Linked DNA regions of Macaca fascicularis. The protein of the gene in region 1 purifies or fractionates together with the protein of each later gene. This does not show direct contact. Links are inferred from orthologs where the notes say so. Each region holds a gene or a part of one and is shown in the gene's direction. Other genes may lie near its edges. The genes, in order: AP3S1, AP3B1 and AP3M1.

Evidence for each region.
Region 2: the proteins of AP3S1 (region 1) and AP3B1 fractionate together in Homo sapiens (co-fractionation; 5 studies listed by BioGRID and IntAct, counting the BioPlex papers as one, with this or other methods). This does not show direct contact. The link is inferred for Macaca fascicularis from reciprocal best matches to the Homo sapiens genes AP3S1 and AP3B1.
Region 3: the proteins of AP3S1 (region 1) and AP3M1 purify together in Homo sapiens (co-immunoprecipitation; 4 studies listed by BioGRID and IntAct, counting the BioPlex papers as one, with this or other methods). This does not show direct contact. The link is inferred for Macaca fascicularis from reciprocal best matches to the Homo sapiens genes AP3S1 and AP3M1.

The regions. Positions count from the first base shown.
Region 1 is NC_088380.1:122,426,413-122,436,874, forward strand, and holds the start of AP3S1 (AP-3 complex subunit sigma-1), read left to right. Parts: upstream 1-5,318; 5' UTR 5,319-5,422; coding exon 5,423-5,491; intron 5,492-10,462. UniProt on the Homo sapiens protein: Part of the AP-3 complex, an adaptor-related complex which is not clathrin-associated. The complex is associated with the Golgi region as well as more peripheral structures.
Region 2 is NC_088380.1:82,256,619-82,266,888, reverse strand, and holds the start of AP3B1 (AP-3 complex subunit beta-1), read left to right. Parts: upstream 1-3,292; 5' UTR 3,293-3,411; coding exon 3,412-3,539; intron 3,540-10,270. UniProt on the Homo sapiens protein: Subunit of non-clathrin- and clathrin-associated adaptor protein complex 3 (AP-3) that plays a role in protein sorting in the late-Golgi/trans-Golgi network (TGN) and/or endosomes.
Region 3 is NC_088383.1:72,313,872-72,323,384, forward strand, and holds the end of AP3M1 (AP-3 complex subunit mu-1), read left to right. Parts: intron 1-1,953; coding exon 1,954-2,161; exon of another isoform or gene 2,162-2,183; intron 2,184-3,773; coding exon 3,774-3,918; intron 3,919-4,706; coding exon 4,707-4,807; 3' UTR 4,808-6,864; downstream 6,865-9,513. UniProt on the Homo sapiens protein: Part of the AP-3 complex, an adaptor-related complex which is not clathrin-associated. The complex is associated with the Golgi region as well as more peripheral structures.

The DNA.
Region 1 (10,462 bases):
TGATAGTTCACTTGCTTTACCCATGCACACACCTGTGTTCAGAAGCAAATAATTCCCCCTAGCACCCCCACACAAAAATTCCTGATTTTATTTAAAAAATACATAGCGATTCTTCAACTACCTATTCACTCATGCTACCTGAGTTAATACTATCCAAGATTGTGATCTATTTGCAGATAAAGGTGTCTGATATATATAAATTGTATATATAAAAAACACTTAATATGCCAAATACATGTAGACATTTAAATTTCTGTAGTCAAATGCCAAGTTAAAATGCAGTGGCATTTAAAGAATTAACCTTTACTACAACTGCCCCTGTGAAGTGCTTAATGTGTACTGTAACATGAAATATTTCTTAGTTCTTTTACAATATATGGCAAAGATACATTGCTTATCTCAAGAAAAATAGGAAAAAAGTAACTGCTATCAAAACAAATTGAAAAAATCCAAAACTTTTGTAGTAATGTACAGATATTGTAATGCTCTATGATAGATTTTTCTGCACGGGTATTCAGTGACTTTCTGAGGAAAACAATACAGGAGGCATAAATAAAATGGTTCACATTGTAAAACAAATCTAAAACATTTCATTTCAGAATTCCCCAGAGAATCCTTTGATAAAGTATATAAACTCCACTAACAAGAGATAAGGCAGGGCACAGTGGCACACTCATGTAATTCCAGCACTTCTGAGGTGGCCCCGTCTCTACTAAAAACACAAAAATTAGCCAGGCATGGTGGTGCACTCCTGTAATCCTGGCTACTCGGGTGGCTGAGGCAGGAGAATCGCTTGAACCAGGAGAAGGTTGCAGTGAGTCACTGTACTCCAGCCTGGGCAACAGAGCGAGACTGTCTCAAAGAAAATGAATAAATAAAAATAAAAGGATAAAAGGGCATAACAAAAGCAACATATGTGGCTCCATATGCATTTCTATAAACAACAGTTAATTCATTGTTGCCTAGGAACTACTGAAAATTTTTGTAGGAAAACGTCACTATTGGTTTCATACCAACTGTTCTGAGGCCACAAGTTTTAGAAACTTTTTGATGAAGTCAATGAGTCCTTGGATGGTTCGAGTTCGCTCTACCGCCCACTTCTTTGTTTTCATAATAGGAGTATCTCCCACAGCCTTTAGCAAAATGTCAACTGTAAAAGAATAAAATTTACTGACAATTACATGAAAACGTCTAAAGAGAATGGAATATAAAAGACTTAGAAATCAGAAATATTTAATCTACATCCATCTTATGTATTTATGATACTGAAGATATGTGAGAGGTATAAAAATGTTAGATTCTTTTCCGTAATTTTTTTCTTGATCCTACGAAGTTCTCCCAACAGGACTAATTTTTAAAATGCATTTTATCTTAACAGGCAATTCCAAAGAGAATACAAATGATCAATACAAAAACAATATTTAAGTTCACAAAAAGCAAAGTAAAATAATGTCATGTCCCTTTTCACCCACCAAACTACTTAAAATTAAAATAATTACCAGTGTAGATATTACTTCTGAGAATGTAAAATGGTACACTCTTTGTGGAATGCAATATGGTAATACAGATCCCAATAAAGGTATACTTTGATTCAATAATACTTCTAGAAATCTAGTCTAAGAAAATACGAGATGTGTAAAAATTCACTTAAAAACATTTCACCTCCGTTTAAGCATTTATTTTTATATGAAACACTGGTAAACCTAAATATCCAAAGGATATTTGGAGGTGACTGATTAAATGGAATGTAGTAAACAGCATATACTTTAAACTGCCTGAGGTTCAAATCCTGGCTCTGCCATTTGCTGGGTATATATGTGGATATTTAATCTCTCCAACAGCATGTATAATATCTCAAATGCATTAGAAACCATCAAAAACACATTCACATAAATATGGAAGAATATGCACCAAAACGTTATTTCTCATTAGTGACATTGTAGGCAATGGTTACTTGGTTTTACTTATGCTTTTTGTAACTACCAAATTTTCTGTAATAAACTTTTCAATAAAGGAAAGCAGTAAGTTATGAACAATAATAGAACCACCAAAGGCCAAAAAGTTGCAGAAAGAGAAATCTTAAGGTTTCAATGATCCAAAACACAGATATGCAAATCCAAACCCTATGAATCTGTCTCTTGAATAAAGTTATTTGCTAAAAAACAACAAACAAACAAACATCTGGCCAGGCGCGTAAGGTGGCTCACGCCAGTAATCTCAGCGCTTTGGGAGGTCAAGGAAGGAGGATCACTTGAGGTCAGGAGTTCAAGAGGGCCCAGTCCCCTTCCAACTTCTTGTTCAAGACTAGCCTGGCCAACATGGTGAAACCCCGTCTCTACTAAAAATACAAAAAATCAGCCAGGGGTGGTGGTGCATGCCTGTAATCCCAGCTACTTGGGAGGCTGAGACAGGGGAATCACTTGAACCCGGGATGCGGAGGTTGCAGTGAGCCGAGATGCGCCACTGCACTCCAGCCTGGGTGACACACTGAGACATCCTCTCAAAAAAAAAAAAAAAAAAAAAGACATCTGCAGTCAAAAACCAAGACACATTGAAAGCAAAATAGTGTATTGCTGCCCCCTAAAGTTAACTCTACTCTACTACACCCTTCTTGCTCCATTCTTTTGGTATTAAATGTTGGAGCCGAAAGATCAGAGGTCAATTTATTCAAGTTTACCCCTGGAATGAAGGCATCTAGAACACATGATGCATGCACATTTTATCTTCCTACTAAAGAACTAATTATCCTAGGCCCAGTTATCTCGGGAATAGGAATGTATTTGGAGAAAACATGGGATTTTATTTATCCTATCTTTCATACCTCCCTTCACTGCTCCCTCAATCCCCTGGGGCTATCAGTAAATCGATTAACGCAATTAAACATTTCCAGAAAGTGAAGCAGAAAATATCATGAGTTATGCTACCTCAGGAAGAAGTGTAAGACAGTGAGAAACTAGAGAAGGAAAATAATTTAATTACAGTTGCCCTCTCTTTTTAATTTTAAAGGTAATTTGCCTGTAGTTTTGAACCCCGGATACACATTAGAATCAACTAGGAAAACACTTACTCCCCAGGTAACCTAACATACCGCCAGTGCCAAAACCTTGGTCTGTTTCAACAATCTTTCTTCTGTAGATTAAAACAAAGGCTGAGGATACAAAACAGTTAAGCTGCTTTCATCAGATTATCCTCAACAAATGATGACAACCTCAAGGTAGGAATAGTTAGAAATAGGTTAGGAATAGAAAGTTTTATATTGGAGAGGCAAACTCAAATGCTAACAAGAGCCAGAAAATAAAAATCTGATCCTTAAATGACAGTTCAATTTGCAAAAAATACTGTTCAGACCAAGAAAATATGCCCTCGAGCAATATTTCGATTGTAAGCCACTGTTTTTTTAGCTTTTCACACAGCTATCATCAGGGTCAAGTAATAAGCTTTTGACTAAGACTGTTAGACCTTAAAACGAATCTCGGAAAGTCCGCTCTTGCCTATAGTACATTGGAAGAAAAAACGCAACAAAAAACTGTAAAACCTGCGGAATTCTTTTGAAGAAAGATTCTAGCGGCTATCCATGAAAAGTCTCACAGTGCATCACGTGGAAATGGGAGTCTGACTTAAAGGGGGAGGGGGGCAGTCTTGGGAGAGAATTATCCTCCACAGCAGCAGAAGTTGAAGAAAAGGCAATGAGACCAATGTCTTTTTTTTTTTTTTTTTTTTTTGAGGTGGAGTTCGCTCTTGTTGTCTAGGCTGGAGTGCAACAGCGCGACCTCCGCTCACTGCCACCTCCGCCTCGTGTGTTCAAGCGACTCTCCTGCTTCAGCCTCCCGAGTAGCTGGGATTACCGGCGCGCGCCACCACGCCCAGCTAATTTTTATATTTTTAGTAAAAACGGAGTCTCACCATGTTGGCCAGGCTGGTCTCGAACTCTTGACCTCAGGTGATCCACCCGCCTCGGCCTCCCAAAGTGCTGGGATTTACAGGCCTGAGCCACCGCGCCCTGCCAGAGACCACTGTCATCTTAAGACTGAACGCGGAAAACTTGTCTATGGACAAAATCAGCCTCTCTGAATCGAGGATGCTTATATGCTGCTTTTCTCATAGGCAACTCTAACTCTAGAGAGTGCTTTAGAACACGTAACCTTGGAAATCTCTTTTACAAAGGAAAACATTCTCAAACAATAAAGGGTTGAGGATAGCTGGTTCAAGCAATGAAATAACTCAAAAAGGTTCCAAAATGTGTTTCTTAAAAAGGTAACATCTATGCCTTTAGCTTTCCCTTAGCAGTCTTCATTTTGCGTAAGAATTTGGTTTTTGGTTTAAGGAGCGAATTCACAACCAACTGGGAGGGGGAAAAAACCAAAAAAGCGAGTAAGTCGGAAGGCGTGAATTCTAATCCAGGCTTTGCCAGTGACCATCCCTACCACCTTAAAACATTATTAAAATAATTAGCTCCTGTGTTAAGTACCTGGAATTACCGAGAACCCCCACTCAGCTCCCTCCCTCCTTCAAAGAGCTTGCAGTCTGGCCAACTCAAAGAATATAGAAAGGGGTGTGGCAGCCAAGTATCAGGACCTACACCGACAGACATAGTATTTTAACACTCAACTCATAAGCCTTAAAAATCAAAAAGTACACTTCTTCTGATGACTAGTCAAAATGCAGGTCTAGGACGGGAGTTCCTCTAAATTTTGCTTCTTTACTGGCCGCCACCCCCAGTCGGATGCAATCTGAACCTCCCGCCTCTCTGCCCGGAAATAAATTCAGTTACTTTTTTTCTTGGTGTCGCCAGCAGGTTCCTCTGTTCCCGGGGAAACTGCAGCGGAAGACGGGGGCTCCGGGGTGGTTGTTTCTGGGGAGACCTCCGTAGGTCCTTCCCCTCCAGCAGCACTTGAGGGAGGAAGCTGCAACATGGACTGCGGCTCCTCCGCCATCTTGCTTGGAGAGATTGGAGAACGGAAGTAGCGATTGAGCGCGTGCAGTGGGCGTGCTTTTTCTCCAGAGAGCGTAGCAAAGGAGGCGCCGGAGAAGGGGAACCCAATTCCACAGTGAAACTTGGTGTTCCTGGCAAGTCATTCAAATCGAAGCTGTGGCAGACTTCTGAACGTTAATAACGCAACATGTGTTTCTCCGCGACTACAGACCTCAGTAAAGGAGAGGTGGGCAACGTCTTCGTGCTTGGTCGAATGCGCACACTCCCCTGTTGGGCCGCTGGCTCGGACCTACAAATGTTTCCGCTTTCCTCAGTGCCTGCCCCGCCCAGGCCCCGCCTCTCGGGCCCCGCCCGGCGACACGGGAGCGCGCGCGGGCGCGTACGGGAGGGGGCGGGTGGGGAAGGATCGCCGGCGAGATTACGAGGCGAGGCTCGTGCGCCCGCCCCCGCCCTGGCCCCCAGTGCCCACCCGGTCGGCCAGGCACAGCCATGATTAAGGCGATCCTAATCTTCAACAACCACGGGAAGCCGCGGCTCTCCAAGTTCTACCAACCCTACGTGAGTATCCAGCTGCTGCTGATCCGGGCGAGGGGGAGTCGTTGGCGACGGGCAGCGCCCAGCGCGGCTTCCTCAGAGCGACCCCCTCCGGCGCGCTGCGGCCCTTCTCCCATCCTGGCCGCCTGGCTCTCGCCGGCTGTCAGCCTCCCGGTGGGTGTGGACGGGGTGCCCACCTCCCTGCCGCGCGGTCAGCCACCGACGTGGCTTTGCCCGGGCGGTTCCTCCGCCCGTCGGTGGGCTGCGTGCCTTCCCGGCTGCGCGGGCGAGGCCCTGGAGACTTCCCGGTGCCTGGCCCTCGCCGATCGGGCAGCGGCAGCCCACCCGCGCCCCGGAGCCCTGCGCCCCGGCCCCAAGAGCCAATCCCGCGCGACTGCCTTGTGCCGCCCGCGGCTGCAGTTAGCTCGGGAGGAGGAAGACCGGGCGGGACTTGTTCTTCTCGCCCCCCTTCCCCGACTCCCAGCCTTTGCAAGTGGACTTCTTTCTGTTCTTTGGACAGATGGGCTACTGGTTTTCACTGTAATCCTCTCATAGGGCAGGAACTTTGGCTTCCTGCGTTTGATAACTGCACGCTCTGTACAGTCTCTCTCCTGTATGTTTCGATACGTGACCGACTGCCCAGTGTGACTTTCAGGTGCCTCCTTATTAAAGAGGAAGATACGTGAGGACCTAATGTTTTTATCAGGCCTTTTAGCAGCTGGCTGCAAATTATTTACCCTCGAAGTAACCGGCGACGTTTGTAGTTGAGTGATTGGAACTGTGGTTCTATACGTAAAAGTTATGATTCTTTACCTAAAAGTTTTAGGTTCTATACCTAAAAGTTAAGCTTCTGGTTTGGCATTTTTCCACGTATGGGAATTTGCCATCATTTATAGTTTTTTTCTATTTATGAAGAATAGTAGCATTTGTAGAACTTCTCTTTTAGATGTGTGAATACTGTTTAGTATGGACAAGTGCAGGAGGCATTAAGGTAGTAGAGATAAGTGATTTATTGATGATCGAGGAAGGGTTTTATAGAGGTATGTGCTCATCTGAGCGAAAATTCACTAGCTGAAACACATAAAATTGGGTTCCCAGTGGTAGGATTAATGTGAGGTGTAACTGTTGTGTGGTATTGTGGCACTTTGCTTATAGCCAGAAATGAGCTTTCAATTCAATTTTGAAATTGTGCCAAGGCTAACACTTTTATGCAGATAAGTCCCAGATGGAAATCAATCTTGCCGTTACAAAGTAAATGTTAAAATGTCAGTTTGCCTAAAATGATAATGCAGTCTGTGGAGGTGTTAGTTGAAGTGAGAAATCTTGAGCTTATTCTTCATTTTTTTTTCAGTTGTTTTGCTTTTGCTAGCTATAAAGAATATTTTCTGCTACTCCTGTGTGGTTTTAATTTAGTATAACTTAAATACTGATGGTCTGTTTAAAAATTCTACATCATTCTGTAATCCAGCTTAAATTCTAGTTGATCCTCCCGAGTGAAAAAAATGCCATTAACTTTACCTGTTTGTTAAAAGATAGTACCGGCCTTTATTGAAGGAATCTTTTTCATAACCATTTTGCCAGTGTCATCCATTTGCAGTATAAAAAAGGTATGTTGCAATAGTGAAACAATTCAAAAAATTATTTTTCCATATCTAAACTTAAGCAATGTTCAAAACAGTGGGTTTTCTGGCTAATCCATATAATCAGTGTATACTATTCGTGTAGTATAGAATGTAACTATCTACTGAAAAATGCATTTAATTTAGAAACTCAGGAATCTGCCTTTCCCTTGTCCAAAAGTGGAACAGAAGTATTGTTTACCATCACTCACTAGGTAGCAGTGACGGTTAATGTGGGAAGAGGCAGTTCTGGCAGCAGTGGCAGCTCTGGTGGCATTTTTGGCCATGGTATGAGTGACAGTGCCACTGAGGGCAGAGAGCTAGAAGATATATAAAGAAGAATCTGGTGGTCACTGGCCATGTATAAGTGGAGTATGAGAAGTTGTTTCTGTGTATTAAGTTTCTATAAGTTGGGTTTTGCTGAGTGTGGTTTTTTTTGTCTTTCGGGAATAATTTAAGATTATTTACATATTTGCTTCCTCCACTAGACCATAACCTTTTTGAGGACAGTTATTTTTTTTTCATTCATTCATTCCATCAGTTTGTCGACAGATATTTAATTCATGCCTACCATATGCAGAAACAGTTTTAAAATCTGAAGATGAACAGATAACTTTTGCCCTTGCTTGAGAAACATAGATAGAGCTATTAAGGAGTAGGCTATATTATAGCATGCCAGATAGTATTAAGTGCTGTGGAAAAAAAATAAAGCACGGAACAGTCTTAGAGACTGAGAGGATGACAGTTGAAAATAGGATAGTCTGGTAAGTTCTCACTGAGAAGGTAGCATTTGAGCAAAGACTTGAACAAGGTAAGAAAGGCAGCCTTCCAGATATCTAGGGGAAGAGCATCCCAGGTACAAGGAGCAGCAAATGCAAAAACCCTGAAGAGAGTGCCTGTTGGAAGAACCCCAGGAATTTCTACATAGCAGGAGCAGACTGTGTAAGGGAACATGAGTTGAAAGTGTCTGTGTAGGGCGTCATTCTATTCTTGCTGCCTGGAATGTCCTTCCTTTCCGTTGCCACGTGTACAAATTCAACCCCTTGTTCTAGGCCCAGCACAAACGTCACCTAAACAGTCTGTGAAGCCTTTGATCTTGCTCAAAGGCTCCTCTTGTGTTTTAGGATTTTATTTTTTATCTTTGTTATGGCACAATATTCTTGTTCACAGCCTGTAATTCCTCGTGGCAGCCATCCTATAGAATACTTGAAGGAACGTATGAGATTTTAGAGATATTTGTGTCATTCTTAGCAGTCAACACTGAGGCTTGAACATAGAAAACTAACTCTTTGCTAAATGCATTTATTTAGAATCTCCTAGCTTGGGATAGAGTTTGGATTAGAATTGACTTCCTGAGTTTCCGTCTGTCTTTTAAAATGTAGTCCTTCACTAACTAGAGGTTTTACGAATTTCTGCCTTTAGCATAAAAGTAGTGATGGAATACCTGTTACTCAGCTGTTTCTGTTTTAAGAGGTCTCTAAGACGTATATGTCCAATATGAATAAAAATTTTGAGTTTAATTTATTGAACAATATCTAGGGATGTGACTGAGCTAACGATTCCATATGCTGGCAGGATGCTGAGGTTTGAGTCCAACAGTAATGGTTTAACACTAAGCCATTTGAAAAATGTTTAACCCTTTGCCAACAAGTTTATGCTACTGCATTGCATTTTCATTCCTCGTTTATCTCCCTCATAATATAACAACTTATATATTCATCTGCCCTTTAACAGTGCACATTTCCATTTCATGCTGTAATGGATTGTTAGATTAAATTGTGGCTCCAAGCTGCTATATGTGAGAAATATGAAGTCACACACCTGTTTTGCTAAACGGAAGTTTTGGTTCATTCTGCTAGAGTTAGACATTACGAATTCAAGTGTGGGCTGGGTGCCTTGGCTCATGCCTGTAATCTCAACACTTTGGGAGGCTGAGGCAGGCGGATCACCTGAGGTCAGGAGTTCAAGACCAGTCTGGCCAACATGGTGAAACCCCATCTCTACTAAAAATACAAAAATTAGCCAGGCATGGTAGCGCACGCCTATAATTGCAGCTACTCGGGAGGCTGAGGTAGGAGAATTGCTTGAACCTGGGGAGGTAGAGGCTACAGTGAGCTGAGATCGTGCCATTGCATTCCAGCCTGGGTGACAGAACGAGACTCCGTCTCAAAAAAAAAAAAAATTCCAGTCTGTACTCAGAATGCCTCCCTTTTTGTTTTTGCCTTCTATATCCTTGGTCTATGACTGCACAAATTCAAATATTTTTCTTCATTTGTCTTTTTAAGTTGATGCGTAGCTTCAGCGACTTGGCAGCAGTAACCTTTAGTCTTTTAATACTTGCCTAACAGTATTTGTGCGTTACTGTAAATAACTAATGAGACTTATATCTTATAAACCAAATATATTTTTACATAGCTATCAAACAAAAAAATCTCTTGGGTTATGATTCCATAGTGTATCCTCTGGTGAATTACTTAAAAAAAATTTTTTTTATAGAGAAAAGGTCTCACTTTGCTTAGGCTGGTCTTAACCTCCTGGCCTCAAGCAGTCCTCCAACTTTGGCCTCTCCAAGTGCTGGGATAAAGATCTGAGCCACTATGCCTGGCCTGTGAATTACTTTTATAAAGTGGAAATGTCTTTCTTTTGTGTGGATTATCTTAGTAGTTTCTGCAGATATAAAATACCATGTGTATATATGCATGTGTGCGTACACACCACACATATATGAAGTACAAGCCGGAAAATTTTCAAGTTAATGTATATGAGTTGCCTCAATTTTTTAATAAACTATATTTAATTAAACTGTTAACCAAATGCAAGCCTTAGGAGAAACTCTAAGATTCTTCTTTCCCGTTTTTCTTTTAAATTTTTAGCATAAAAATACAAAGTATTGAAAGTATAGATAACATTTTTTCTTTTAAAAATATCCCTTAAAAAGATCCATCCATGTTCACTGATGTCTTTTTTTAGTGACTATTAAGACATTGTGGCAGATGGGATAATTAAACTTAAGTCTGTGATCAAGATAGAATTATCAACACTGCTGAGTATGAGGGTGTTAACACGTATTAACACATGGCATTTCAGCTTTTTGTTAAGAAGAAAATTCCATACGATTTGGTTTCCTTCCATATTAGTTATAATGCATTTGTCTGCATAAATTGGGTTTTATGTAGCCTGACTCAAATGTTTAGAAAGAACTATGTGAGGTACATTATAGGAAGTGCAGAGTAGTAGACGGATTCCAAAATTAAATGATTCAACAAATCGATGACTTTATTGTAGATCCAATTTCTTTTTCTTTATCTGCTTTGCTCATCACAAAATTACTATTTCCAAAGGCTGTTTTTCTCCTTGAAATTGGTGGTAATCAATT
Region 2 (10,270 bases), about 40 Mb from region 1:
CAAAAAGAAAACTTCCTATTTGGACTATAAATTTTACTGTCTCTACTTAGAATAAATGAGATGCAAGTGTAAATGACAGTAAAGATTTTATTATTATTACCAATCAGATTAGCAAACATTAAAAAGATTTATAATATACATTGCTGGAAAGGGTGTGTTGAAACGGAAAAATATTGGTGAAAGTGTTGGTATTCTCTTTTCAGGTTAGAAATTTGGCTATATCTACTAAAATTTCAATTGCGCATATCATTTGTTCTAGCTATTGGACTTTTGGAATCTTAACTAATGGGAATAGTGGTGGCATGGTGCAAAGACATGCATTGACAAAGTTGTTATAATAGTCCAAAATTGGAAACAATTTACATGTGTATCAGCAGGCTATTGGTTAAATAAATAAAGATGCACCTATGAAAGGAAATACTATGTAGATCTTTAAAACAGTGAGATGTAGTAACATGCAGAATGATATTATGGTTTTAACTGGTATTTGGAGAAATATGCACATCTATCATTTATTTTTCTACGCTTAGAGAAAAAAGCTTGAAAATATATACAACACATTTAACATCTATATCATGAAGGTTAGATGAACAGAAACGGAAACAGAAAATTTGATAAAGGTTTTATTAAGTATTAGGGGGAAAATAGTTTTTGAAAAAAAATATCCAACTTATTTGGCAGTAATACAAGACACTACATATGCTGGAAGGAAACAGAAAATCTGGTTTGGCTTGGTAACAGGTGTCAGAGAGTAATCTTCTAGTTCTGTTAATGTTTCTTCTGGTTGGAAGTGTGATTTTTTTCCTCTGTCAGAAAGCTTCATGGCTATATAAAAGATTTTTCAATTCTAGAGATATGGGAATGCTAGACCACAGCCCATGGAGTTATTATTTTTTATCTTTCTGTAAGAATATACAGTCTTAGAATTTTAAGGCAGTAAGGGCCTCAAGTCCCTTCTTGTCAATGCTCTCATTTTTTTTTTTTTTTTTTTTTTTTTAGTGATAAAAAGAAAGTTTTATCTATTTCATCCAGGAATATATGCTCTGTATCTTACACATAATATTCCAGAGAAAAAGTTACCTATACCTGTTTTTTGAAGAATAGATATTCTTAATATCCACACCATTCAAGGACAATGTAAAAACAAAACAAAACCCCAAAAAACAAACCCCCAAAACCCAAAACCCCAATATTGTAGGTCAGTCTCCTACCTGAGTCTGTGTGAAAAAATAAAAATATTACAAAGTAAAATCAAGCAGTTAATTAAAAATAACAGACTCAAGGACAAAGAACTCTTCAAGTCCATCAGAAAAACTACTCAGTGTAAAAGTGGATAAATAGGTTCATATGCAATTCCCAGGAAATAAAATGCAAATGGAGTAACCACATAAAATATTCTCAAGTTCATTATGACCATGAAAATGAAAATTAATTACCATACAAATAATATTCCTTCATATCATATTGATGACAATAAAACATTTTTAGAAAGCTAAACGTTTGTGAGAATGTGAAGAAAGAAGATTACACACTGCTAAAATTATGCTGGAAAAAAATTTAGGATATCTGGTAAAAGTGCACAAACTCTAAAACCAAGAAATTCTATAATCAGGTATGTGTCAGATATTTTCCAGGCTATGTGTATATCAATGTTCTCCTTTTACAAATAAAGTAACCAAAGCCTAACTCTTTTTACTATTAATATATATAAAATTACTTAGAATAGTTTGTGGTATATATTAAGGATTATATAATAATATATAGTTATCTATGATCATCCTCATCTTCATTATCAATAGTCAGTTGTAGATGAAATGTTATTAATTAACATCATTAATATTGACAAACACATTTTAGGTGATCATCATTGGATCTCCGGAGCAGTATTCTAACAGTCGAATTAAAAACCTGCCAATATTTAACCAGACGATGAAGTTTGGAGGACATTCCTTCTTCTCCCACCCAGAGCCACGCTCGTGCGTGCTTCCACAGTGACAGTCTGACCTTTTGAAACTTGGAGATCATACTTTGATCCTTGAAAACGCCCCACCGCCTTCCCAGAGGCTGCCGGTCTCCACGTTCGCGTTCTACCTGGTAGAATCCCTTGACAGTTTCAGTACCTGGCCGCCAAGGCTTTGGGAGTTAACGCCTACCTGGACGGGAGGCACTGGGGAGAAGAGAGGGAAGGCTCTGAAACCCAACCGAGAAGGCGGGCTGGGGGAAGTCACTCCTGGAAAGAGGTTTTCTCGGGTGCCAGCACCCGGAGAGAGCTACTCCGGGGCCAGGCAAGCATCCCGCCTAGGCTCCCTAGTGCATATTAGTGAGTGACACGACGGCGACAGGACACAGAAGTGTCAGATGACAGCTGCGCCTGGCGCGCAAGGTGGTCCATTTTATTTTTGGTAGCTAGACGCCAGTAGGACGCACCACTTCAGCTCTAAACTGGAACTGGTGGTCCCAAGATGTTTTCTGTTCTTTTTAATTTTTTTGAGACAGGGTCTCGCTCTGTCGCCCAGGCTGGAGTGCAAAGGCGCGATCTCAACTCATCGCTACCCCCTCCTCCTGGGTTTGAGTGAACCTCCCACCTCAGGCTCAGTAGCTGGGACCACAGGCGCGAGCCACCACGCCGGCTAATTTTTATATTTTTTGCAGAGACAGGGTCTCGCTATTTTGCCAAGGCTGGTCTCGAACTCTTGGCCTCAAGTGATCCGCCCGCCTCGGCTTCCCGAAGTGCCCTACTGGCGTGAGCCACCGCGCCGGTCTGCCTCCAAGATTTTCGTTGCAAGGATGGAATGGTCGCTTCTGTGCGGATCCTCCAAACCATCGTTGGGAGAGGCCTCCTTAAAGTCTGGGAGAAAAGTTGTTTCGGGTGGATATGAAAGTAAGGCAAAGCCGGAAAGAGGAGAGTAGCCGAAACAAGCAAAGTGATCGCGATGGGTTTAGGAAAGGTGATCTGGCGTGCTAAATGGCGTTTCCGGAGAAATCCGAAAACTATTGCTTTACAAAAGTATACTAAAGAGCTGCCCTGGGTCTGGAAACCCCTTAAGGGATCAAAATGGATGCAATGGGTATCCTTCTCCAATGACACCCCTCACGGGCCGGGAGCCTGGCAGTTCGCCACCCGCTGCCTCCCTTTCCGCAGCCAGGCTCGCAGCCGCTCAGCTACCTCTAAAGCCCGGAGCAGGGAAATCCGCGCAGGCCTGGACGGCCCGGGTGGTATCCTGCCTTCCCGCACACTGCGCATGCGCAGGGGGTGGACTGCTAGGTCGGCTCAGGGAGCGGTGACGAGTCCGGAAGCGCCTGCGCGCGCTCCTCGGTACGCGAACTAGTTTTGTTCGGTGCCCTCTGGACTGGAACCTTTCGGAGAGAACCCCCGGCAGGACCAACCCCGCACCCGCCAGCACCGCGGCAATGTCCAGCAACAGTTTTTCTTACAATGAGCAGTCCGGAGGAGGGGAGGCGACGGAGCTGGGTCAGGAGGCGACCTCAACCATTTCCCCCTCGGGGGCCTTCGGCCTCTTTAGCAGCGATTTGAAGAAGTGAGGAGAAAGGTTTGGGGTACGGGGATGGGAGGGAGGAGCTGGGGACTCGGAGGAGTGGGCGCCGGGTGGGCTCCCTGGAGTGGAGCGGGGTCGCCCTGAGATCTGAGCAGAGCTGGGCGGTAACGTGTCCCACGGGTGGGTGGGTGGGGTTGGTTGGCGGTGGTGGGAGTTGGGGGAGTTTGGGGCGTGTGTGTGTAGGGGTCTCTAGTAGTTTTCAAACTTTAGTGAAAAGGAAACCGCTTGGTGAGCTTAGATCCCACCCCTGAAGACACTGATTGAATTGGACTTGGTCTGGGCTCAGGAATCTGAATTTTGAGCATAGTCTTCTAAGTTTATTTATCGTTCGCCGGATCAGACTTTGATACATTCCCTGATTAGGGTGAAACGAGTGTTTTGGTCAAGGTGAGAGTGCGAGTGTTGCTTGTGGGAAGTTATTTTGTGACCCCGGAGTGTAGGAGGAGAGAGGTGGGTTTAGGCTGTTTGAATGGACAAATTGGTTTATACCAGTATCAGTGTTCTTGGATTATATCCTTTGCACTACAGACAAAAACACCAATCCAAAATAAGCATATGAATAGAAAATATTTTAAGAGTGTTACTATGAACAAATCCTAAACTTTTACAAATTAATAATGTGAAGTTTAAAAACGAATGTTAAGATACACTTAGTTTTGTAAAAAGTATCACCGAGAAATGGAAAGAAATCCCAAGTTGTTTGTTTGGGGGGTGGGATGGTGGTATTGGGGTGGTGGTAGTGGTTAAATTTACCACAATTATCATTTTTACGTTTCTCTTATTTTAAATCTTTCATTACTAAGCAATATGGTCACATAATAGTCTGTCGCTAAATTCACGCTAAATTAAGGTAGAATAGCTGTGCTGGTAGCTTTGCAGATATGTTAGAGGGTATAATTAAAATTTAAATTAAACGTTACTAACAATATTGGGTAGTCTAGAAAGTGCTACTACTTGAAATTGGGATTACATTTTGGCTGTATTGAGGATCAAAATCATATAGATAGTATGTACGATACAATATTTTCGTTTCCTTTTTCCCAGGTTAGAAAAGTTTAAAAGTAAGGTAACTTTTCATTTTCATTTCATATAATTTTTCATTATATGCATTTGGTGATCCATTGTTCTAGAGCAAGTACGGAGCTTGTTGCCTTTACTGTTAGCAAAATGTTTAGACTGAATTAACCTGTAAATTGGCATCAATCTGTTTTGCAAATTAATTTACTTTTATGGTTTGTGAACACCCCGTGAGGGGTGTCATTGGAGAAGGATACCCATTGCATCCATTTTGATCCCTTAAGGGGTTTCCAGACCCAGGGCAGCTCTTTAGTATACTTCTGTAAAGCAATAGTTTTCGGATTTCTCCGGAAACGCCATTTAGCACGCCAGATCGCCTTCCTAAACCCATCGCGATCACTTTGCTTGTTTCGGCTACTCTCCTCTTTCCGGCTTTTCTCTTATATTTTTGTCAGATTTGGGGCCAGGCACGGCAGCTCTCGGCTGTAATCTCAGCACTTTGGGAGGCCAAGGCGGGCGGATCACTTGAGGCCAGGAGTTCGATACCAGCCTGGCCAACATGGTGAAACCGCGTCTCTACTAAAAATACAAAAATTAGCCGGGCGTGGTGCCTCGTGCTTGTAATCCCAGCTGGAGGCTGAGGCAGGAGAATCGCTTGAACCTGGGAGGTGGAAGCTGCAGTGAGCCGAGATCGCGCCACAGCACTCTAACTTTAGTGGGTGACAGAGTGAGACTCCGTCTCAAAAAAAGAAAAAAAAAAGGAAAAAGATTTTTGTCAAATTTTGACCTGATTTGGAAAAAAAAACCCAAAAAACTTATGGCCATTGACTCTGTGACCAGTGCTCTTGAGGTGACCTAATAGGTTGGATTTAAAATAAAAGTAGCTAATTGATTAGAGGTGGTATGTAATATATGCAAATAACCATGGTTGAATTGTGTTCCCCAAAAGATATTTATTGAGTGTTTGTGGCACCACTTTACATTTATTATCTCATTCAGTTTTCTTAACAACCCTGCAGGTTATTACCAGCTGCTCCCACTTTACACGTGAGGAAATTGGAGCGTGATCGTTAACTTGGGAAAGGCCGCAAAGCTAGAACATTGAACTGCCTGAATTTGAACTCAGAGGCTCTAATATTAGAGCCCATTCTCTCAAAAGTTTCGATGTCTACTTACTACTTGATGAAATGTATGGTATTTTTATTAGTGAGCGCATACAACTCACGAAAGCTTTAAAACTTTAAATAGCTCTAAGTAGTACCACCAGAGAAGCTTCCAGGGATTAGAAACATTTGGCTGTTGACCTGCAATCTAATGGAATTGTACAGAAACAAGGAGACCCCTGTTCTGGAAATGGTCATTAAATCTCTCTTGAGTCCACATTTTCTCATTTATAAAACTGTAATATTACTTGCCTTTTAAAAAAATCGAATGACATAATTTATGTAAAAAACTTGAAGCTCACCCTGTTTCCTCAGCTCTGGTTTTTAATGGTTTACTCTGATGAAATAGTTTCAAGTTTACAAAAAAGTTGCAACAATAGCACTGAGAGCAACCCTTTTGCAGATTTACCAATTAAAAAAATTGCTACATTGCTTGCCTACTGTCTCTGTCACTCACTCTCCCCATGCATATTCAGGCACATATACGTATTCATGTTATGTGTCTTCTGAACCATAGGAGACTCGGTTGTACACATCATGTTCTTTTTTTTTTTTGAGACGAGTCTCGCTCTGTCCCCCAGGCTGGAGTGCAGTGGTGCAATCTCGGCTCACTGCAAGCTCCGCCTCCTGGGTTCACGCCATTCTCCTGCCTCAGCCTCCCAGGTAGCTGGGACTACAGGCGCCCGCCACCACGCCCGGCTAATTTTTTGTATTTTCAGAAGAGACGGGGTTTCACCGTGTTAACCAGGATGGTCTCAATCTGCTGACCTTGTGATCTGCCCGCCTCGGCCTCCCAAAGTGCTGGGATTACAGGTGTGAGCCACCACGCCCGGCCCCTACATCATGTTCTTTTAAACTTAAAATCTCAATGTGTAACTTTTAAGAACAAAGATAGTCTCTTACGCAACTTACAGTGTTGATGGATTCAGGAAATTTAATGTGTGTACAATCTATAGTATGTAATCTAATTTTATCGTTTGTTCCAATAAAGGTGTTTTCTTTTTTCCCAAGAATTTTTTTCCTCAAGTACAGGATCCAGTCCAAGATAATATATTTAATTTAGTTGCCATGTCTCTTTAGTCTTCTTTAATCTGGAGTAGTTCTTGAGCCTTTTTTGTCTTTCACGACCTTGACATATCTAAGGATTGCAAGCCTATTATTTTATTTTATGTTAATCAATTTTTGGGTTTGTTGGTGTTTCCTCATGTTTAGATTCAGGTTATGTATCCTTGGCCGGAATACTACCATAGGTGATGCGTGCTTCTCAAACTATTACATTTGGAGGCGTAGGGTGTCCATCTTCATGATGTTAATTTTCCTAGTCACAGGGTTGTCCAGTTTCTCTATTGTATCATTTCTATTTTTTTTTTAATCAAATTATCTGTGGGGAGACACTGAGACCATGCAGATGTCTTGCTCTTTTTTAAATTGACCACTTCTACATTTAACAACCATTGATCAATCTCCTGAACCTGTCTTCCTCAATGGCTGCAAAATGGTAATGTTTCAGCTGCAACTCCCTCTACTGTTGTGCTCTTTGGCTTCTTGGCCTAGAGCTCTGTGTTCTCTGATCCTTCACTAACCATCTCAATGATGCCTAGGTACTTCCTAGTCATAGTATTAGATTTTTGTTTTATGAATTTAATCTTATTTATCAGTATTATTTATCCTCTCCTCCCTTCAAACAGAACCAGAACTAGATGACTTTATGAAAGTAGATCCTATACCTCATTTATTGACTAAAAAGGCCTGTGTATTAGATTATTTGCTTCAAGATTTTTAATGTCTTTATTTAAAATGTAAAGAACTTATTTTTGTACTCTCATTTTTTATTTTTTGAGACATGTCTTACTCTGTTGCCTAGGCTGAAGTGCAGTGGTGCAATCATGGCTCACCGCATCCTCAACCTCCCGGGCTCAAGTGATCCTTCGCACCTCAGGCTTCTGAGTGGCTCAGACTACAGGTTCATGCCACCATGCCCAGCTAATGTTTGTATTTACTGTAGAGATTGGGTCTTGCCATGTTGCCCAGGCTAGTCTTGAACTCCTGGGCTCAAGCAATCCGCCTGCCTCATCCTCCAAAAGTGCTGGAATTACAGGCGTGCACCACTGTGCCTGGCCCCTTCCTTCTTTTTGAAATGTTCTCAACTTCTATTGTTTCTGTTTTTTTCTAAGTTATTTTTCTTCATTAAAAAAAAACAAACTTCTTTTATCTTAACCAATTTGGGTATGTGTGCGTATAATTAAAAGTAATTTTAATAATTCTATTACTGGATTAAACATTTAATTAGGAATTAATTTCTAGAAACAAACAGACAAGACTAGTTAATTTTTCTTAATTTCAATAGTAAAGCTACTAAAGTTGTAAATCTCTTTTCTTTTAAGAGCATCATGGTGTATTAGAAAGGACATGAGGCTGGGAGTGGTGGCCCCTGCCTGTAATCTTAGCATTTTGGGAGGCCCAGGCAGGTGGATTGCTTGAACCCAGGAGTTCCAGACCAGCCTGGGCAACATAGTGAGACCTTGTCTCTATAAATAAAAACGGGGAAAAAAACCAAAAAACATTGGGCCCAGAGTCAGAAGACCTGGATTTAAGTTGATGTTTTCCACTTGTAGTAGTGCTTCCTTGTTCAAGTTGCTGATCTCTTCAAACTTCGGTTTCCTCATTTCTAGACAGGATGTGATAATACTTGCCTCTTTTGTGAGGATCTCATAAGATGGTGTACTTCAAAGTGATTTCTAAACTAGGGTATTAACTAACAGTATTTGGGAAAGTTGGTGAAGACTTCACTGAGGTAGTGACATTTTAGATCTTGAAGCCTGAGGTTTTTGCCAGGTGGAGGAAAGATGGATCCTTTAGCTAAGCAGAGTATGTAGAAACCAGAAGATTTGCAAAAGAAAAAGCATGTTCAGATGAGGTGGATATTTAGACATCACAATTTTGAATAGTAGGCAGTAAAGTATGGGAATGGATGAAATCACCCAGGGAAGACTTCTTTTTTTTTTTTTTTTTTTTTTGAGACAGAGTCTCGCTCTGTCACCCAGGCTGGAGTGCAGTGGCCGGATCTCAGCTCACTGCAAGCTCCGCCTCCCGGGTTCACGCCATTCTCCTGCCTCAGCCTCCCGAGTAGCTGGGACTACAGGCGCCTGCCACCTCGCCCGGCTAAGTTTTTGTATTTTTAGTAGAGACGGGGTTTCACTGTGTTAGCCAGAATGGTCTCGATCTCCTGACCTTGTGATCCGCCCGTCTCGGCCTCCCAAAGTGCTGGGATTACAGGCTTGAGCCACCGCGCCCGGCCAAGGGAAGACTTCTTGTTAGATGAGAAGGCAGTTTAGACAAAACCTAGGGGACACCAGGATATAAAATATGAATGGAAGAACTAGAAAAAGAGACAGAGCTCACAGGGATGGGAAACTATGGAAAGGTTTAAAAAAGAGGATGCTAACAGGAAAATTAAAAGAAGGAAATGTTCAGCTATGTCAGGAGTTGTAGAGTAAGGACAAATAGAATGAAGGCTGAAAGGAGGCCTTTGGGTTTAACAATTGAAAGGTGACTTTAGCGGCCAGTAACTTAGCAATGCAGTACCTCCCGAACACCTTGAAAGGTAGCATTTTTACTCCCTGTTGAAATTGGGGTGGGCTTTTCATTTGTTTAGATTCAAAGAGCTAATTTAGATCCAAGCAAAGGACTGCATGCTTTCCTGTAGTCAGTAATATAACTCAGTGTATTTGGATTGCATCAGTAAAGCCTGACTTATTTTTTAACTTAAATCTTATTCATTGTCAACTTTATAATATCAAACATGAAAACTCTATCATATTCCTTCTTAACCTTTAATATCAGTGATTCTCAGGAGAGTCCAGTAGGAAGATTACATGTGTCTGTGGTTTGTATGCAATTATAGCAACTCTGACTTTATCTCCACTACTTTTTGTGTCTTTCAGGAAGGCATATAGAAATGCAGCTGAGTGAGATTCATTTACTTAGGGTGATGTTATTGAATATACCTTATTAAAAATACAATTTTATTAATAGTAACACATTATATTTGACATACCTCAAAAAGTCATTGTGTCTCTCTATGGGGTTCTAAACTTATTTGTGTTTAAGTCCATTTTTTATTAATAATTTAACTAGTGTCTGTATCATATTTTTGGGTGTTTTTTTTTTCATTTAACATTTTTTCACAGTCTAGTTGTTTAGTGCTTGCTCCACTTTCTTTTTGCTTATCCTAGTATTTCTCATTTAAACCTTTATCTCATTCTGTATTTTCAGTTTATGTAGTTGCTCAGTGAATATTTCTTAAATATTTATGTACATAAATCGTTCACACATTCTGCTCATATTAAAGACTATGATTTGTGTGAAGGTGCCTAGCAAAGTGTCTGGCTCGTAATTTTGCTTAATTAAATATTTTCAGATCCTTTTACTCAATTCAGTGATTTAGATTCCATTAACATTTGCTCTCTCATTAGCCAGTGTTGTTAAAAAATGAAGCACGACTGATTCAGTGGACCCTATGCAGAAGGAAAT
Region 3 (9,513 bases), on another chromosome or scaffold:
GTTGCAGTGACAGATCATGCCACTGCACTCCAGCCTGGCCAAGAGGGTGAAATTGCATCTCAAAAAAATAAAAAAAAATTTAGCATTGGGGATCGTAGTTTTATAGCTAGTTTGTTTCTTGAAAATACCAGAAGTTATTTGAGTAACATTATGACAGGACTCAAAAGCAGACAAATTATTTCTTGGCTCTTTTTTTCTTTGAACCGGAGTTCGGCTCTTGTTGCTCAGACTGGAGTGCAGTGGTGAAATTTTGGCTTACCTCAACCTCCACCTCTAGGGTTCAAGTGATTCTCTGCCTCAGCCTCCCAAGTAGCTGGGATTACATGCATGTACCACCACGCCCGGCTAATTTTGTGTTTTTAGTAGAGACAGGGTTTCTCCATGTTGGTCAGGCTGGTCTCGAACTCCCGACCTTGGGTGATCCGCCCACCTCAGCCTCCCAAAGTCCTGGGATTACAGGCGTGAGCCACCGCACCCAGCCTGTTTCTTGACTCATCACATAGGAACTGTTTTCATTTATATAAAACATATTTTACATTATTTTTCAGTGGGATCGTAATTCATTTTTTTAAACTAGGGCCATTTGCCCCAATTGTTTTTTTTTTGTTTGTTTGTTTTATGTTTTTTTGGTTTTTTTGTTTGTTTGTTTTGAGACGGAGTTTCACTGTTGTCGCCCAGGCTGGAGTACAATTCTGTGATCTTGGCTTATGGCAACCTCTACCTCCTGGGTTCAAGTGATTCTTCTGCCTCAGCCTCCCAAGTAGCTGGGATTACAGGCGCCCGCCACCGCGCCCAGCTAATTTTTGTTTCTTGTTACTTTTTTTAGTAGAGAGGGGGTTTCACCATGTTGGCCAGGCTGATCTCAAACTCCTGACCTCCAGTGATCTGCCTGCCTTGGCCTCCCAAAGTGCCAGGATTACAGGCATGAGCCACTGCACCCAGCCACCCCCAATTGTTTATACTGTTATTAAACTTCAGATTTCTGTCTTGATTTGTATACAGTTCCCAGCACAGTGGTACCAGAACATTATGCTATACTCAGCTCCCCCTTGTGTAGATGCTGAATCTGCAGTTCTGGAGGTACCGCCATCTTGGTATCCTTGGAGGATTGGTTGCAAAAATCAGCAGATGCTCAAGTCCCTTATATAAAATGGTGTAGTATTTGCATATAACCTATGCACATCCTCCTGGGTACTTAAAATCATCTCCAAGTTACTTGTGATAGTACACTGTAAACACTGTGTAAATAATTGTTATACCAGGTTGACTTTTTATTTTTATTATATTTTGTAGTTGTATTGTTATTTTTTTTTTTTTCTTTTTTTTTTTTGAGATGGAATCTCGCTCCGTTGCCCAGGCTGGAGTGCAGAGGCGCAATCTCAGCTCACTGCAATCTCCACTTCCCAGGTTCAAGTAATTCTCCTGCCTCAGCCTTCTGAGTAGCTGGGACTACAGGCACAAGCCACCACACCCAGCTAATTTTTGTATTTTTAGTAGAGACGAGGTTTCACCATGTTGGCCAGGCTGGTCTTGAACTCCTCACCTCAGCCTCCCAAAGTACTGGGATTACAAGTGTGAGCCACCACACCCAGCCTCAGCTAATTTTTGTATTTTTGTAGAGATGAGGTTTCACTATGTTGGCCAGGCTGGTCTCAAACTCCTGACCTCAGGTGATCCCCTCCCACCGCCGGTCTCGGCCTCCCAAAGTGCCGGGATTACAGGCATGAGCCACCACGCCTGGCCGATAGTGTTAAATAATATTTTCAGTCCTCAACTGGTCAAATTCAAGGATGCATAACTGTGGCTACAGAGAGCCAACTCTGTAGCACCTTATTGTGGAGTTAAAGGTACAGTAGGATACTCTGGACAGAGGTTTTCAGGATACCTCTGATGCTTTCCCCACACCATTAATTGTGTTTATGCTTTTGTATCTTTCTCTGTTTCTCTTTTTAGTCTAGTGGCAATACCAGTGTATGTGAAACATAGTATCAGCTTTAAAGAGAACAGTTCTTGTGGCAGATTTGATATAACAATTGGACCAAAGCAGAATATGGGGAAAACTATTGAAGGAATTACAGTGACAGTTCACATGCCAAAAGTTGTGCTGAACATGAACCTGACAACCACACAAGGCAGCTATACATTTGATCCAGTCACCAAGGTACAGCCACTTCAAATCAAGAGTGAGCAAGTGTTTCTGCAATCTATTTTGTGATTTGTGGGGAGGAATGGAGGGAAAGGTTTAGCACCTTGTTTAAAACTAAAGTTCGTATCAAAACCTAGAGAGTATACTGTGCTGTGCTTCTGCCACTGGCTGCCAAAGGAATCCTGCAGCTGCTACTGAGCAGATGAACAGAAAAGTGTGTCATTCTGTCCTTTTTCAGAATGTGCCTTCACTCATCCATTATTAATCCAGAGCCTCTGCTATCTAATAAGAAAGAAGTAAAAGCTTTTTTAAAAAGAGAAAACATTATGTAGAAGAAGATATTATGATGGTATATGAATTATTAAGTTTTCTATATAAATTGATCATTAAGACCTTTTTCTTCCTTTTTAATTTAAAAGCATCATTTCATACTCTTTCACAGGGCTAGGAAAGCTGCTTCCTCACCCTACTTAAATTTTCCTGTAGCAGAGGGTTTTCAGAGAAACTGTAGCAGATGATTTTCTCTCAGCTTCCTGATTAGCTAGTAAATATGATTGTTTTCAATAGCAGAGTCATTGAGCTACCTGATAAATGAAAAGACATGTTTTTTGAATAACATCATAGGATGTTAAAGATTATTTAATGCAGTTGTAAGGATTCAAAGAACCTCCTGGAGACCACACAGGGCTGAGAAAGGGAGCTTCAGATTCCTGGCCCTTTACCACAGCTTCAACTATGACAGCTTTGCTTTCTTTCTCATCTGCTGCTGAGCCTCCACACCTAAGATTTCATTTGAACAATGAGTTTCACAGCTAAAAGTTTTAAAAACACCATCTTAAGTCAATCTAATTATTTTACAGAAAAATAAACAGAGGCCGTGCACAGTGGCTTATGCCTGTAATCCCAGCACTTTGGGAGGCCGAGGTGGGCGGATCACCTGAGGTCAGGAGTTCGAGACCAGCCTGACCAACATGGAGAAAGCCCATCTCTACTAAAGCTACAAAATTAGCTAGGCATGGTGGCGCATGCCTGTATCCCAGCTGCTTGGGATGCTGAGGTAGGAGTATTGCTTGAACCCGAGAGGCGGAGGTTGTGGTGAGCCAAGATTGCGCCATTGCACTCCATCCTGGGCGACAAGAGCGAAACTCTGTCTCAAAAAAAAAAAGAAAAAGAAACAGGCCCAGAGAAAAGTAGTGAAGATGGTATGATGGAGAACATTTGAAATCAGAGAGCCTTAGGTTCAAATCCCAGCCTTACCTCTGACTAGCTGTGTAACCTTGAGCAAGTCATTTGATCTCCGAGCCTTAATTTCCTCATTTGTAAATAGAAGACAAAAGCTACTTCACAGCCCTCAATGAGATAACATATGAATAGTGCTAAGCACGGTGCTAATACAAAAGAAAATGCTCAACAAATGTAGATTCTCTGTCCTCACTCCCCATTCAAAGTCACAGAGCTAATCAGAGGTAAACTCACTGTAGATCCCAGATCTCTTGTTTTCAAGAGACTGCACTTCATTTTTACAGAAGTTTATGATACAGAAGTTTATGATGTCTTTGAACCTTGTTTTGGAGGGTTTGTCTTTAATAAATGGTTCTATTTGTTTTTCATTCTTTGTCTTTTTAAGGTACTAACATGGGATGTGGGAAAAATTACTCCACAAAAGCTCCCAAGTCTTAAAGGACTGGTAAATTTACAGTCTGGAGCCCCCAAACCAGAAGAGAATCCGAGCCTCAATATACAGTTTAAGATCCAGCAGCTTGCTATTTCAGGTAAGGATAAGGTTGACTTGTAGTTAAGGGTAATTGAGTTTTGCAAGCTCAATTATTAGGCACTTAGAAGAGTAACAAAAGTTTCCCTCTCTAGAAAGAGCAGTAGCCCTTTGGCCGGGCGCGGTGGCTCACGCCTGTAATCCCAGCACTTTGGGAGGCCGAGGCGGGAGGATCACGAGGTCAGGAGATCAAGACCATCCTGGTCAACACGGTGAAACCCCGTCTCTACTAAAACTACAAAAAATTAGCCAGGCGTAGTGGTGGGCGCCTGTAGTCCCAGCTACTCGGGAGGCTGAGGCAGGAGAATGGCGTGTACCCGGGAGGCGGAGCTTGCAGTGAGCCAAGATTGCACCACTGCACTCCAGCCTGGGCAACAGAGCGAGACTCCGTCTCAGAAAAAAAAAAAAAAAGAAAAGAAAGAGCAGTAGCCCATTTGCCTTTTACACTGTGCTTGGTGGGGCCATCTCCCAGGCATCAACCAAATGATTTTGGAGAACACCTTATTTCAAACAGCTTCTCCTCACCTCTGCCCTCATTCAAGCACCAAAAAGGGAGTTATTCATATTAATAGAAAGTAGAATTATACTTCACAGACATTCCCTGCCTGTGTGTGAATCTTAACCAAAACCATACCATCAAAGTGCAATAATTTGTAAATGATAGAAGAGACATTTCTTCCAAATGGTGGAAGGGACACTGGTTAATGTCAGATTTACCATATAGTGCTCATTGCTAACATATTGGTTGGGATGATGATAATTTATTCTTTTTCATTCTTTTTGACACAGGCTTAAAAGTGAACCGTTTGGACATGTATGGGGAGAAATATAAGCCATTTAAAGGAGTCAAATACGTCACGAAAGCTGGAAAGTTCCAAGTGAGGACATGAGAAGAGGCCAAAATTTCTCAAGACCAGTTTGTTTTCCAAGTGTCATTATGATGTATTACTATTAGGTACCAAGTGGGTGGGAATAGATATTCTAGTTAAAGCATTTGTGTCTAGCTACACACCGCTAACAAAGTTGCTTAGTTATCAATGTAGGATTCTTAAGGAGCTTTAAGCTAAGGAAACCTTTTAGTGACTTAGCTTATTTTGTATCTTTTCACTTAGGAAGATGTTGGAGGTGATTTTTTTTCCATAGGAGAATACCATCTGACGGCTGCACATTGTAACAGTAAAGGCAGAAAGCTATAGTGATAACCTCTCTCCTAAAAGGAGTTAACTGGTCTCATCCAGCAGAAGCTATCTTAAATCTCTGATGTGTCAGGTGCAGCCAAATATCACACGTGATCTTAGCCATCCCAAACCAGTATCTGTCCCAAGAGAGGAAATTCCCCCCACCCCCAGAAGTTTACAGAAAACTGCCTCTTCAAGTGTTTGCCTTATTCAGCTTTTCACTTGTGCCATTAAGCAAGCACTGTAGCAAAAGCCACTTCCACATGGCCCTGGCAGGGAGCACTGCTGCTCCATGCTCCATTCTCTCTGTACTTGGTATTGTATTTTTTATAAATAAGATTTTTATGTAAAGCTTATTTGATTTACAGGGACCTTGCTGCAGTAAATACCATCTCAATTTTGTGCCACTGGTTCAGCTGTTAGCACAGTAAAAAAATCATTTGTATCACAGGGGCAAATGCTTTATTAAGGTAGTAAAAGGGAACATTACTTCTGCTTTCAGGAAGTTACTGCAAGCACAAGCATTTGTGCTTTTAAGCAAATTAAAGTAGTAAAAGAAAAACTTAAGTGAAACCTTTGCCATCTTAATGTTTTATAATATAAAGCTTACCCAACACCAGTTAAGCCATGGTTAACCTAAATGTCTCATGCCCCAGTTCAGCAAAAGGAGGAAAATGTGCCTGCCTCACTGTCATCAGTCTTTCTAAATCTTTTACCTTTTTTGTTGTTCTTAAGGGGTTGAATTTGCCTGCATTCCTTGTCTTTAGGGGAAATTCCCTTTTCATATTGTGTGCTTCCCAAAGCTATAGTCATAGATTTCTTCCAGAAACTATTGTCATAATTGTCACTGGAGTGCTTAAATATACTTACTATACTGACAAAATACATGGAAGTGAGTTATAATGAGGCAGAAACAAAATCCTCAGTAACACTGATGATACTGTACTGATCACCATGGTTTTGGAAAGTCAGTCAACAGTTGTATTATTGCACTCAACTTCATTGTGTCATTTTATGTAACTTCTTCATCTTGGTGGTCCTTGCCCAGTTATTTTTTGCCTCATTAGACATCAAGAAATGGAGAAAGACTGAAAGTTAAGATATTCTTCATGTTTCCTTCTTATTTATGCTATTTTCTTCTCTTTATAGCTCCATTCTTCTTTCAGTCTTCTCAGCTTATAACCGTCTTTTCCTTATGCTAAGGATAGCCCTTACACTCATGCCATCTGTGCTGTCAAGGGCTGCTGGTTGGTGCTGGTACAAGGAGCCCACGGAGCAGCTTTCTTACCTTTGTCTGCCCTGTCTTTCATGGCATAAGAAAGGCAACGTTTTGCAGCTTCCATATTTCTGAAGAAACTAATCTCAGATTGGCAGTTATTTTACAGAACTGCCAAATAGTCAAAATGTTGCCAAATATTTATTCCTTTTGCCTAAGTTAAGCTACCCAGTTCAGTTGCTTTTTATTTTTAATGTCTTGACTCTTCAGGGTTTGTACCTCAAAAGAACAATCAGAACATTTGCTTCGCTTTCTGCTGAATCCCTAATCTCAACAGTCTATACCTGGACTGTCCAGTTCTCCTCCTGTGCTATCTTCTCTTCTATCCAAGTAGAATGTATGCCAGGAGCTCCTGCCTTCTAGCAATTTCTACTAAAATGTCCAAATAGAATGTTTTCTTTTACAATCAAATTACTGTATTTATTAATTTGCTAGAATCCCGTAAATCATTTCGGTAGCTCTGGCTATGCTATCAATAAAAAGATGAAAGCAACAAGTTGATTTTTTTTTAGGTCTACTATTGATTGAACATTCTCCAATGGGCAAGGCTCGTTGTCAAAGCAGGATGAACATGATCAGATTTTCTTCTGCATCATCACACAAGCTGTGAGTGTTGCTGCAAAGCACTTCTCAGCACTCCTTCCCTAACCTCGTTATGTTAATAGCCATTCATACTTGGCTTAAGCATCACCATTCTGGCCACAGTCTGAGAGATTAGTGATCAAAGCTCCCTTCTCTATCACTACCACCACCTACTGATAACAAAGATTCCTGAATACTTAGTAGTAGTAAAATATTTTTCAAGCAGAGTTACAGCTAATCCTGGATCCCTTAGTTCTAAATTCATAAGGAAGCATATCAAGAACAAATGAAGTAGATGATTATTTCCAGTGTGTGGGAGTCACATTATTTTATCCAAAGGGAGTTCCTGTGATAGGTTCATTTCTTAAGTGGTGCTACAGTAGAAAATCAGGAACAAATACAGAACAAGATCAAGAAAATGCTGATCTTGTCCTAAGCGGCAAGTGATTTGAGAAAATGATTATACTGCAGCAGGAAGGCAGCACCAGTGAACATATGGTAAATGGCAAAAACAAGACAGTTCTGCTAATTCAGTAGTAGCCTTGAACTTTGCTTTAACTCAAACAGGCTGGAATCTATCTTTATATTTGGCAACTTTCCAAGATAAAGCAGTGATAACAGCAGTTGGCAACACTAAATATCAATATCATCACCCTTTAATTACATGTTAACCCTTTCAGATCTAGAAAATCAGGCAAAAACAGTGATGTCCCAACTCTAAAAACCTGCTCCTACTATTTTAGTCAGTGTTTCTTTAAGGAAGAAGAGGACTGTGTCCCCCAAAGCTATCTCTGCCTTATGGCCCATATAAGGGCTTTTTCCTGGTGGATCCCTGAAAACCCTATTTATTCTATACTAGGCTTTGGAATATGAAAAACGGACCTGTGTGGCCGGGCGTGGTGGATCACACCTGTAATCCCAGCACTTTGGGAGGTCAAGGTGGGTGGATCACTTGAGGTCAGGAGTTCAAGACCAGCCTGGCCAACATGGTGAAACCCCATCTCTACTAATAATACAAAAATTAGCCAGGCATGGTGGTGCACGCCTGTAATCCCAGCTACATGGGAGGCTGAAGCAGGAGAATTGCTTGAACCCAGGAGGCAGAGGTTGCAGTGAGCCAAGATTGCACCACTGCACTGCAGCCTGGGCAACAGAGCAAGACTCTGTCTTGCAGTGGAGGAAGGACCTGTGGTACTCCTACAAACTTAACAACTTTAGCTTTTCAGGGAACAGTGATGGTCTCCACAGATAGCTAGAATCTTCTAAGGTGAAAACAAACTGTTTCATCCAGCTGCTTTCTGCCTACTGTTAACCTTTGCCACTTCCATTCCTTTAAGTGTGTAATCCCCATAGTTGTCTTGTATCACACACATCCTTGTTAAGTAAATATACCACCGTTGATTTCTTCTTCCAGTACAACATTGGATTAAATAAAATCTTTAGTTTCCAGATCTTGAGGATTAGTTTCATTGGCTCTTCATCAAAACAAAGGAGAAACCTGACCTAAAAGTTCTTGCTAAAATAACATACCCATCATTGAAAGCATTATTTATACAAATGCATTTTATTGTTTTAAACAGAACAAAAGAAGAGGCAGAAAATATTTGCATATAACAAATCCTAGCTTATAAATGTAGTTTTTTAGCGGTGATTCTCTAATCATTCAGGGATTTTTTTTTTTTTTTTTTTTTTAATTTGCTGCACTGTGTCTTGAGCACTGATATTGGAGAAAAGCACATCCGGCATAAAGTGTAAACCAGTGTCTCAAACCACTGGAAGAACCGGGAGAGCAAACATGATTTTTCTTATTTCCTCTAAGTAAATCTTTAGTAAAACAACAAGTGATCTTTGGCATAGATTCATACTTTAAAGGCATTAATATTGCATTTATATCAGGCAAGCAACTATACAAATATGCTGAGGGCCTTGAAAATAAACATCCTCATTTTAAAGGAAATAGTGAAAGCCTGAGTGTACAGGACCAACTTAAGTTTTACACATTCGATGTTGGGAACTAACACACAGTGATGGGTGAGCTGGAAGGATGTTCAGGCAAGGGTTCTTACTCCTTTACTCATCTGGTTCTGGCTTTGGGGAAAAATAAGGTTTCACGTGCTGGAAAATACTTAGCAGTAATAAGTACCAAAAAGGAAACATTGCCCTCTCATTTTGCCTAGTGGGAACTTACTGTGGTGATAAGAAATATGAAACCCATTACTCTCTTGAATCCCGTACGTGGGAGTAGATGCAGAGAGCTTGGTTGTAGTTGGTTGCAGGGAGGTAGGAATTACAGGAGTAGTATTTCCCATTGATTCATCTTCAGCAGCACTAGAATTCTAGTCTGCAAATACCACTCTCCTTTAGGCAGGAGGTGTCCTTCGGACAAGGCTGCCTTGCCATTAAACACTGTTAGGGGACAAGCACTCATTCTTAGGACTGAATTTTAAAAGGATAAAAAGGATCTTTTAGAGCTACAGATGAACAAACACCTACATGTCTTTAAAATCTTGTTTAGAAAGGGTGTGGAGGAATGCTACAAAAACCAGGATAGGAGACATGT